3 linked regions of the Saccharomyces cerevisiae S288C genome follow. The gene in region 3 interacts genetically with the main gene of each other region. Each region holds a gene or a part of one and is shown on either strand. Other genes may lie near its edges.

What was found. A genetic interaction does not mean that the proteins touch.
Region 1: of NRP1 (region 3) and COQ1, a mutation in one rescues a mutant of the other (synthetic rescue), as found in Saccharomyces cerevisiae (one study listed by BioGRID).
Region 2: mutations in NRP1 (region 3) and REE1 together harm fitness more than expected from each alone (negative genetic interaction), as found in Saccharomyces cerevisiae (2 studies listed by BioGRID).

What each region holds. Positions count from the first base shown.
Region 1 is NC_001134.8:240,901-245,017, reverse strand, and holds COQ1 (trans-hexaprenyltranstransferase), read right to left. Parts: upstream 2,210-4,117; coding exon 788-2,209; downstream 1-787. Other genes in the region: GPI-anchor transamidase GPI18, read left to right, coding at 1-652; RER2 (ditrans,polycis-polyprenyl diphosphate synthase), read left to right, coding at 2,450-3,310; alpha,alpha-trehalase NTH2, read left to right, coding at 3,735-4,117. UniProt on the Saccharomyces cerevisiae protein: Assembly of polyisoprenoid side chains.
Region 2 is NC_001142.9:21,140-24,516, forward strand, and holds REE1 (Ree1p), read left to right. Parts: upstream 1-1,993; coding exon 1,994-2,590; downstream 2,591-3,377. Other genes in the region: hexose transporter HXT9, read left to right, coding at 1-61; YJL218W (acetyltransferase), read left to right, coding at 834-1,424; oligo-1,6-glucosidase IMA5, read right to left, coding at 3,202-3,377. UniProt on the Saccharomyces cerevisiae protein: Functions in the galactose metabolic pathway via the GAL83 protein and that it may control the level of ENO1.
Region 3 is NC_001136.10:160,495-164,674, forward strand, and holds NRP1 (Nrp1p), read right to left. Parts: upstream 2,661-4,180; coding exon 501-2,660; downstream 1-500. Other genes in the region: SFA1 (bifunctional alcohol dehydrogenase/S-(hydroxymethyl)glutathione dehydrogenase), read left to right, coding at 1-270; FAP7 (nucleoside-triphosphatase), read right to left, coding at 2,955-3,548; CCR4-NOT core subunit CDC36, read left to right, coding at 3,796-4,180. UniProt on the Saccharomyces cerevisiae protein: May play a role in chromatin organization.

The DNA of each region.
Region 1 (4,117 bases), on a different chromosome or scaffold from region 3:
ATCCTTGAATCGTTCAAACTGTGTTTTGTTAGGGATTTACTTTATTTTTGACCTTATTGAACTAACAAAGAACAGGAAGTTTGTAAAAGCAATATGTTTCCCACTATTATCAGGATCATTAATGTTTTCTGCTCTACTATATCAACAATATTACCTACCATATAAGACATTTTGTCCTCAAAGGGGTGAATGGTGTAAATCTCAATTGTTTTCAAGCATTTTTATCACGAAAACTTCTTTATATTCCTACATTCAGAGTCATTATTGGGGAGTTGGGTTATTGAAATACTGGACCCCAAACAACATCCCAAACTTTTTGTTTGCTGTCCCAAATATTATTATTTTAATCTATTCCTCCATATATTTCAGCAAAATTTATCCCTCCTATAACTTGAAGGCTCTCGTATGGATCACCAGAGCACTGGTCGTCATAGTATGCTTTTTTGCCCATGTCCAAATTCTGAATCGTATAGCCTCCTTTTTACCCTTGCACCTTTGGTATTTGGCTGATAGATTGGTTAAAACTTCTGATCCAAAAAAAATGGAAAATCCGAAAGGTGACGATAAGATAGTCAAGTTTTACATATACTGGTTGGCATTCTGGATACCTTTACAGACTATCCTATTTGCAGCTTTTTTACCACCAGCCTGATCCTTAATGCTTGTATATTTCTTCTTTTACTAAAAACATATAAAAACTATTTACATATAGAATATAGAATAATGCGACACTATGACCTTCTTCATTTTCTCTTTATTCTTCACCCTTTATTTGAAATTTCAAGGTTTACTTTCTTCTTGTTAGTATACTATTAGTTAAAAACTCTAGGGCAGAACGAGCATCAGATTCAGGAAGAGAATCCCGTAGATTTTGTAATGCCTTGTCCCTATATTCCTCCGCTAGTATTTTCGTCTTCGCTATACCATTATGGAGTCTCACAGAATCAATAGTTTTTTCAACATCACCCCTCTCTGAAAAATTGCGTGAAATTAGTGGACCTAAAGATGGGTCTTCTTTCCATGCAAACAAGACTGGAGCAGTAGCAATACCTAATTTTAGATCCGCGCCGGATGGCTTCCCTAAATCTTTTCCAGACACAGTAAAATCAAGCATATCATCTACGAGTTGGAAACATATACCTAGATTTCTACCGAAATCATAGCATTCGTCGATAACGGCAGGTGATGCCCCAGATAATATAGCAGCACATCTGCAAGATTTTGATATCAAAGCAGCAGTCTTCAGATAGGTCTTGTGTATGTAGTATTCAAATGCAGTTTCTATAATCTGATCATGAGATAATTGCAGCCCCTGTTGGCGGCTTGGAACACGAAAGTCGTGCTCTTTAACTTCAAGCTTTTTAGAAGGAACCGGAAGTAGCTTATGGCCATTTTCGATGGTATCGATATCCGCGTCAATGGAAGTATTTTTCAGTTGCATGAACTCACCTTCGACAAGATTCGCAATACTATTAGACATTAGTTCTACGACTTCGGGGTTGTGTAATCTTGAAATTGACACTGTTGCTCTCCCTAAGAGAAAATCACCCGCCAAAACGGCCATCTTGTTGGTAAAGGCAGCATTTCCGCTTGGCCTTCCTCTTCTTGTATCAGAATGATCAATAACGTCATCATGAAGTAAAGACGCAGTGTGTATCATCTCTACAATCTCTGCTAATCTTCTCTGTTTGGGTAAAATCCCTCTTTGTTTGTCAAAAGTTTCTTCTGGCAAAGGCTCAGGACCTTTTGTCAAGGGATTTAGTGGTTTAATACCGTGAAGAATATGTAGTGGGGATATGCTACTTGCAGGACGTTGAAATAGTTGATTTTGACTAGGTTTAGAGTAAATTGGGTCCTCAGGAACATCCGACTTGTCAATTTTCAAGTGATTTCTTTCTGTCATGGGAATTTCAGAAAGTGCTCTTGACAACAACAACACTAACAAGGGACGTACTTTTTTGCCTTCTGTTTCAAAATAGTAACTAGTAACCTTGTTTAGCACCGGATGGCCAGACCCGATGAGGGCAACTATATTTTTGGCCAATGTGTTCATCTCCTTCGAGACTAATGATATGGGATTATTCCAAAGAATCTTGGGAGTTACCAACTTACTGGCAGCGTTTAAAGCAACTGCAAAGGAGGATTTAAAGCGGCATCTTCGAGATGAAATCAATTTGATGTGATGAGCAGCGCCAGACCTTTGAAACATCGTCCCACTGTACTCAATTCGGACTGAATGGCACACTTCTTGTGTTGTAGAAAATCTCTATAGATTATAATGTGTCTTACTTTAATCTTCTAATCCCCTAACCCTGTTACCCTCGCTCGGGCTTTTTCCGAAGATGCCAACAAAATGCTTAGAATGAAAAAAAAAAAAATTTTCGTAATAATGACAGGTTTCAATAGAACTTAAGCAGTAAAAATAGGGTAAACACAGGTAAAAGACGGTATGGAAACGGATAGTGGTATACCTGGTCATTCATTTGTGTTAAAGTGGACAAAAAACATCTTTTCGCGCACATTGCGTGCATCTAACTGTGTACCTAGACATGTTGGGTTCATCATGGATGGGAACAGGAGATTCGCTAGAAAGAAAGAGATGGACGTAAAGGAGGGCCACGAGGCAGGATTTGTTAGTATGAGTAGAATCTTAGAACTGTGTTATGAAGCAGGAGTCGATACGGCTACCGTGTTTGCCTTTTCAATTGAAAATTTCAAGAGGAGCTCACGGGAAGTTGAATCACTGATGACTTTAGCGCGCGAAAGGATACGACAAATCACAGAACGTGGAGAGCTGGCCTGTAAGTATGGGGTACGCATTAAAATTATCGGCGATCTCTCTTTGTTGGATAAGTCTCTATTAGAAGATGTTCGGGTTGCTGTGGAAACTACAAAGAACAACAAAAGGGCCACGTTAAATATCTGCTTTCCATATACAGGCAGGGAAGAAATCTTGCATGCCATGAAAGAAACAATTGTTCAACATAAGAAGGGCGCCGCTATAGACGAAAGCACGTTAGAATCGCATCTCTACACGGCGGGGGTACCCCCTTTAGATTTATTGATTAGGACAAGTGGCGTTTCCAGATTAAGTGACTTTTTGATATGGCAGGCATCGAGTAAGGGCGTACGCATCGAATTGCTGGATTGTTTATGGCCAGAGTTTGGACCTATACGGATGGCATGGATTTTATTAAAATTTTCGTTTCACAAATCCTTTTTAAACAAAGAGTACAGATTAGAGGAAGGTGATTATGACGAGGAAACCAATGGGGACCCCATCGATTTGAAAGAAAAAAAGTTGAATTAAGAAAGGTCTGCATTTTTTTCCTACCACATGGCATAGATATTTATAGAGTAATGAGCAAGATAAATGAGTTCGCAAAAGAACATTCAAATAATTAGTAATAAATGAGTAGAAATTCACGCATCTTTATAGAGTTTATAATGCAAATCTCCGCGCGGGGTAATTTGAAGTCCAATTTTTCCGAGCGGCGTGCCAGTTCCACTAAATTATATAAAGCGGATAGGAATTGTAATTACCTCCCAAAGTTAATATTCGACTAATGTATATTTCATATGTTATAGCGCTTGTAGGAACTGTTTTCCATTAAAACTAATATTCTTTATTTCTCAATTTTATTTATTTATTTATATTTTTCCTTTGCAAATATATTTGACGCAGGTTCGGATCAGACATTTGGTATATAAGGAGACCTGCATATACTCAAATAATGGTAGATTTTTTACCAAAAGTAACGGAAATAAATCCTCCATCCGAAGGTAATGATGGTGAAGATAACATAAAGCCACTTTCAAGTGGTTCAGAGCAGCGGCCGTTGAAAGAAGAGGGGCAACAAGGTGGTAGAAGACATCACCGGCGGTTGTCCTCTATGCATGAGTATTTTGACCCGTTTTCCAACGCAGAGGTCTATTATGGACCAATAACAGATCCAAGAAAACAGTCAAAAATTCATAGACTAAATAGAACCAGAACTATGAGTGTTTTCAATAAAGTTTCTGACTTCAAAAACGGAATGAAGGATTATACCCTGAAAAGGAGGGGTTCTGAAGACGACAGCTTCCTCAGCAGCCAAGGTAACCGTAGATTTTATAT
Region 2 (3,377 bases), on a different chromosome or scaffold from region 3:
CGATGCTGACGCCATAGACCATGACGATAGACCAATCTACAAGAGGTTCTTTTCCAGCTAATCTTCCGGTTTTTAGTAACTGGAAAAAAATACATGAACTTAATTATTTATTATATACAATATTTACTTTTTTACGCCTTAATCCTTAACGGACTATTTGTTATGCCTTATAGAACTAGAAATTATATGATAAACATGAGCTACACGAGTTGACAGGGTGAACAGATTACTATAGCATCTTTCTCTCATGAATAATTTTTAAAATGTATAAATTTTGTAACGTTCCGAAGGGTGGAGTGAAATTCCATTCAAGAAACCAAGCATTGAGACAGAACAGTACAGAGTTCAGTTGTTGCGGACCGAGAATTGTAACAAGTAGCCCCAGAAACATTCATATGACGTCTGTTTCAAATTAAGCTTAGTAAAAGTACACATTTACCATAAAAAAATAGTACCAAGTCGGTGGCCTGATATCCTTATTTTCCTTCTGCCAATTGGGCAAGTTGGTACTAATATTTTAGGTGACACTGCCACTTTATTGTTATGGATTGAAATTTCTTAAATGTTCTCACAATCGGCCATAACGCTATTTCTCCGACGTAACCTCCTGTCATAGTGTGCCGTGCCTGAATAACTTAAAAAATTAAAGTTTTCAATGTGCCCAAAAAAATTCACAAATAGTACGCGCTCGTTAAACACCCTGTGACGCTGGGCCAGGCACTATTTAGCATTACTTCGAAAAGACGCAAGTATAAAGAGTGAGATCTCACGTACTACAACAAGAACATAGAGAAGCATTCTAATAAGCATATAAACAAGGCTTCTAGAGAAAAATGGGCGTATTAGAAAATATAGTACCTGGTGAGCTTTATGATGCGAACTATGATCCAGATCTTTTGAAAATTAGAAAAGAGACTAAAATAAAATTGCACGAATACAACACCCTTAGCCCCGCTGATGAGAATAAAAAGAGCCAGGTAATAAGAGAATTACTTGGTAGTTGCACTGATAACTTTATAATTGAACCGCCGTTTTACTGTGATTACGGAAGTAACATCTATATCGGAGACAACTTTTACGCCAATCACAATCTTGTTATATTGGATGGGGCCAAGGTAGTCATCGGTGACAACGTATTTATCGCCCCTAATGTTGGTATTTATACGGCAGGTCATCCAATTGACGTGGAAAGACGGCTTCAAGGATTAGAATATGCCATGCCTGTGACCATTGGAGACAATGTATGGATTGGAGGTGGAGTGTCAATAATTCCTGGAGTAAATATAGGTAAAAACTCCGTGATTGCCGCCGGTAGTGTTGTGATTCGTGACATACCAGAAAATGTAGTGGCAGCAGGTAATCCTTGTAAGGTGATAAGAAAGATCACTGAAAAAGATAGTACAACTACAAACTATCGAAAATGATGGATCCACTTTCTGGAGGAATTATCGAAAGCAAGTGTTGTCTTCTATGATTATGTACCGTATTTTCTTATAAGAATAAATAAAAAGCTAGTTCAGTTTTAGTCGACTAAATACGCAGAGAGATTATTAATTATTGGTATATGTTCTGGTTTAAGTTGCTCATTCTCAACTCGACTGTGTATAGTAGCTTCTTTCTGGTATAATCTATCTTCGAGGAGAAAATTATAGTTTACAACTTATGTAAAACTGCTCAAGTTCCAACCGTATAGAAAACGCGTGGCTGGTAGCTTTATGTTCGGATTTGAGAAATTTTCGGGGAAATAAGTACCGTTCTAATTTTTCAGCGCAAATTAACATGCGGAGAAACTTTAAACTGAAAATATGGCCACCTGCATGCGTCCATATGAAAGGGTCATCAAATAGCCTCGAACAAAACAAGTAACATTTTCGATGGAGTTAGAAAGGGATGATCCTATACGCACAGATTTCCTAGGTATTTAACCTGACCTAATATTAACAAAAGTCCAAGTGACGGCTTCTCCATCAAACAAGATAAATTACCAAACACAATGGTCGAATCTAAGAATACTGAATTATCGCAAGGAACATGGCTCAATAAGCCAAAATCTGTTTTTCAAGAGGCAGGAAAAGTCACTCTGGAAACAGATGAAAAAACTGACTTTTGGCGTGAAACATTTTACGGATTTACCCGTGATAGCGGTCATTTTTTGGGAGTAGAGACAGGTAGTGCTTTTACTGCACAAGTCCGTGTTCAGGGAAGCTACGAGAGTCTTTATGATCAGGCTGGTATCATGGTTCGTATAGATGATGGACATTGGCTCAAAGCTGGCATAGAAATTTCTGATGGCCACGCAATGCTAAGCAGTGTTTTGACAAATGGAAAATCAGATTGGTCAACTGCTGTTTATGGCGGAAATGCTCGCGATTTCTGGCTTCGTGTTACTGTTGAAAAGGGCGTTTTGAGGATTCAGGTGTCCTCTGATAAAAAAACATGGCCGTTAGTACGTTTGGCTCCATTTCCAACTTCTGACCATTACCTTGTTGGACCAATGGCTTGCACACCTGAGCGTGGCGGATTGAAAGTTACTTTCTCGGAATGGAGTCTCACAGCTCCTTTAGGAAAAGCTTTACATGATTTGAGTTAGTTCACCTATATATCAATATATAAAGAGGGGTTTGCTTTTGTTAAGAACAAGGCCTGCACCTCACTAAGATCTGTTGATTTGGCACTATGCTTTTTAAAATTTTGTTTATACTCAATTTCGTCAAGATTTTTTTTACTAGTACAATCCATACAGTTAACAAAATACTGGGCAATAAGGCGTGCATACTACGAAATTTTTAGTTTTGTTATAATAAACGACTTTTAGCTAGTGTTTTAAGATAAAGTGACGAAAGTTAGGGTGAGAATAGTCGAATGTATTTACTAATTATTGAATTCGTGGTAATTAGTACTTATGATGATGGGGTTTAAAGGGCTAAATTTAGACAATAGAAACAGTAATAATGATGTTTTCTATTTTTCTGCTGTACGTTGCTTTTTATTTTATATTTCTTCGGAAAAAGGTTCAGTGAATTTTCTGTCTTCTATATACATATATAAATTGCAATTGAAAATAGCGTACAGCGTAAGTTAAGTATCCAATGCTCACATATGAAAAGCAAAAGTAAAAAGAAATATACAAGTTTATTATTCATAAATATCGGCATAACTATTTGTTTCGAAAGATCAGTACGTTTATGTTAAATGTGCTCGTTACTTCAACAAGTAAAGTCTTCCTTCCCATGGCTGCAAGGTGCGGGAATCACCATTTGAGTTTGCATAGTTGCCAAAAAACATGGTGTAGGAGGCCTCATTATCAGGAACTGAAAAGTCCGTATTATCGCTACTGAAATTGAAAACAGCAAACATTTTTTTGTTATCTGTGTCCT
Region 3 (4,180 bases):
ATTATCATTGGTGTGGCTGCCGCTGGTGAAGAAATTTCTACAAGGCCGTTCCAGCTGGTCACTGGTAGAGTGTGGAAAGGCTCTGCTTTTGGTGGCATCAAAGGTAGATCTGAAATGGGCGGTTTAATTAAAGACTATCAAAAAGGTGCCTTAAAAGTCGAAGAATTTATCACTCACAGGAGACCATTCAAAGAAATCAATCAAGCCTTTGAAGATTTGCATAACGGTGATTGCTTAAGAACCGTCTTGAAGTCTGATGAAATAAAATAGGAGTACTTAATTAAACTAAGTAAGCATGACTCAAATTTTCTGGAATACTTTGAAAATCAACGTCCTACATTCTATCAAATATCATATATATGCGCACAATTACGTTCTTCAGCAATCAGTTAGACCTGAAGAAAAAAGTAAGGGTAGAAAAAGTATATAAATATATAAAAGTGTAAAAATAAAAAATACAATGTGGTTGTGTGAAATTTATTGACCTCGCCTGTTCCTAACTACCAACGTATTGAACTATTAAAACCATTACCGAAAGCGCTATTATCACCAACATTGGAAAAATTAACGTTAGCTTTGTCACTTTTGAACTCGTTAAACGAGCTACCATTCCCATCTCCCTCCTTCATTGACTTTGTTGCCATCGATAACGGTGGTGACATAAATTCCATCAAACTAATATCACGACCTTTGTTATCGTTCCCATCGGTGCGACCAGCATTGCTACCACCATTAGTATTAACAGAAATATTGTTATTACTGGGAGTACGCGACGCTGGTCCAAATGTTGATGAATCTATGTAATGATTGGTTTCACTTGCATCGCCGCTTATTGATTTTGGACCACCACAGCGTAAGCACACTACGTTTTTAGCAAAGTTATGATACGTGCACGTGGAACACTTCCAATCTCCTGCTCTAAATGGCATGTTGGAGCCACATCCTCCCATACCGATATTGGAATTACAATTATTACTATTGTTACCATTGTTATTATTATTATTATTATTGGTATTACTATTACTATTGATACTACCATTATGATGATTGTTATTATGATTGTTATTATGATTGTTATTGTTATTACTGTTGTTCCCATTACCATTCCCATTACCGTTGATGTTGTTATTAATGTTATATCTATTATTGGTCATATTGTTAATATTATTGTTGTTATTGTTAATATTATTATTATAACGATAATTTGGGGCTATATTATTATTTCCCGAAAAATGATCCGCTATAATTATCGGCGACCCACTGTTCGATGGTGCCATGTTCAATGAATTTTGTCGCGACAATGGCGTAATTGCAGGAAAATGAGCTCTATTGTATGTTAAAGCTGCTGGCGTGTTGTTAGCAATCATGTTGAACTCAGGGGCACCATAGGGGTGATTCGCTGCAGTGTTACTAATATTGCTTGAAGATCCCGAGTTCACGCGATTGTTTAAATTATTTCTACTACTGTTAACATTATTGTTTGAGTTCGCAGTATGTATTTGACTATTTGATGGTGCCGGAAAAGAACATCTAAAACATGCAGTACGTCTTTGAAAGTTTGAAAAACCACAAGATGGGCAATTCCAGTCACCTGGTCTTGGTTTGTTTTTACTTTGAGGGAAAGGCGATAAAATTTCTTGAGCCTTATCGAGTACTCCGGTGGAAGAAGGTTGAAGCTCAAGGACATGTTCCACCACCCTTGGTTGCTTAGTGTTTGCCAGATTAGATAGGATTGATCTCCCATTCAACGCTAGTACTTCAGTTGCTTCTTCATGTGTTTGGAAGACAACAAATCCTGAGATACTATCTTGATCTTCCACATAGGGACTGTTATTTAGACTCCAGTTATTATTAACGTTAGACGTATCTTCTACGATGTTTTTGACAGTCCAAAACCCAACTGGTCTAACACCATATTGGGTAAACCATGATTCCAACTCACTTTGAGTTGTGTCGGGCGGTAAATTGTTCATGTACAAAATCTTAGATTTCTCTTGCAAAAACGCTCTAATATCGGTGTGTGAGTCATATGGTTTTGTTAAGACAGATTCCATATCTTCAGGGGAAGTACACTTTTTGTGCAATTGTATTAATATATCCGTTGTCCTTTTTAAAAGAGAGTATATCTCTGGAACAGAGCCTGCCTCTTCAGTTGGGATTGAAACTTCCAATATTCTAACTATTTCGTCCAAATCCTTCGTATTTTTGGCTGCATTAATACTAATACTTTTAGTATTACAATTGTTGTTGGAGATTGCTTTCTTTTGTCCCAAAATCTCCGGATGGTTGACACACCATCTATCGAATTCCTTCCATAAGTCAAATACTTTCGGATGTTGTAAATAAGAAGTAAGAATAAACCCATCATCTCTCGCTTGACGTGGTAAGGTAACACGGATATGCCATGTTGAATACAGGGAAACAAGAACAAAGTCGTCGTTACCAATAACGTCATGAATATCCTTGTCCAATTGCACCATTGCACTCTCCAAACTCTTTGTCGTCCCGTTTACTTCAATGCTCGGTAAAGAATTGGTCCCATAATGGCATACTAATGTTTCAGCATTCACAATTTGAAATGCTATATTCGCAATGCGACATTGATCCTTGGGGGTATCTGGCAAATGCGCAACTTGCAGCTCTAGTACCACATAGTGCATAATTTCTGTATCAAAAATCACAATAGCAATGCACAATTATCCTAGCGCTCTTCTTTAGTAATGCTATTTGCATCAAAACCAACTTATTAAACTTGTATGTGTTGAAAAATTTTTCACTTTAAACTTTTCCACTGGGCATCGGCATCGGAGAATGAAAATATATTACCAAAGTCACATTAAACAAGTACATGACATTACTTAAAGAAAACCCTTTATAATAGGCACTACTATTACTACTGTTACTAATTTACAATTATATATGTATATATGTAGATACACAAAGTTATGGAACGCCTACTCACTGTCTTCATCGTCTTCGTCATCGCTACGAGGCCCTTGATATTCATTTGTGACTCCATCTGGATGTTGTTCTAACCACATCTTTTCCCAAGCAACAATACGGGATACGTTAGATACCATATCTTCTTTCGTATCGCTTTGTAGCTCTACCACAATGTGCGGTTCGTATGATTCCACGGCATCCTGTTTGACGACACCCATAATCTCGGCATCGAGGTTTTCCTCGATCTTAGAGTCATGATAGCCTCTTGCATGCAATCTTGAATACAAGTTAGAGTTATCGCATCTCAACACCACCACCAAGTCAATCAGCCTCTCTGGGAACACATCATTGACATGCCAATCGACAATACTATTTCCCTGTCTCAAAAGAGGCTCTAGCATGTCCAGCAGTTTGTCTTCATCGACAATGTGCGATTTACGGCCCTCATCATATCCTTCGAAACAGTCGTTATCTTTGGCGAAATCCGAAATGTTATAGTATTTGTAATCCTTCAGTTTATTTTTTAAAAACTCACACGTAGACGACTTGCCACATCCTGGTGTTCCTGTAACAATGATATTCGGTCCATACCGTCTTGCTTCCATCTTTATATAACAAAGTATTTCTTTATTTTCTAATAGTTCCTTTCTACGAGTCTTGTGTATGATTTATAAAGAGTGAGCTCTTTTGTTATGAAGTATATTATTATGTGAGTATTTTTTTATAACTGCGAAAAAGCGAGGCGAACATTAATAAGATAATAGCAAAACAGGCATTTTTTAAACTAGATATGCAAAAACCACAAGGAAAAACAGGAAGAGAAGAGAATCAAAATATACTATTCCCTACATAATGGAAAAATTTGGTTTAAAAGCGCTAGTACCGCTCCTTAAGCTAGAGGACAAAGAACTTTCAAGTACATATGACCATTCCATGACCTTAGGAGCGGACTTATCGTCGATGCTATATTCGTTGGGTATTCCAAGAGATTCACAAGATCACAGAGTCCTCGATACTTTTCAATCACCGTGGGCAGAAACATCCAGAAGCGAAGTGGAGCCCCGATTTTTCACACCAGAATCATTCACCAATATTCCGGGCGTATTACAATCCACTGTAACTCCACCATGCTTCAATTCCATCCAAAATGACCAACAGCGTGTTGCCCTTTTTCAAGATGAAACTCTATTTTTCCTCTTCTATAAACACCCTGGTACAGTCATCCAGGAACTAACGT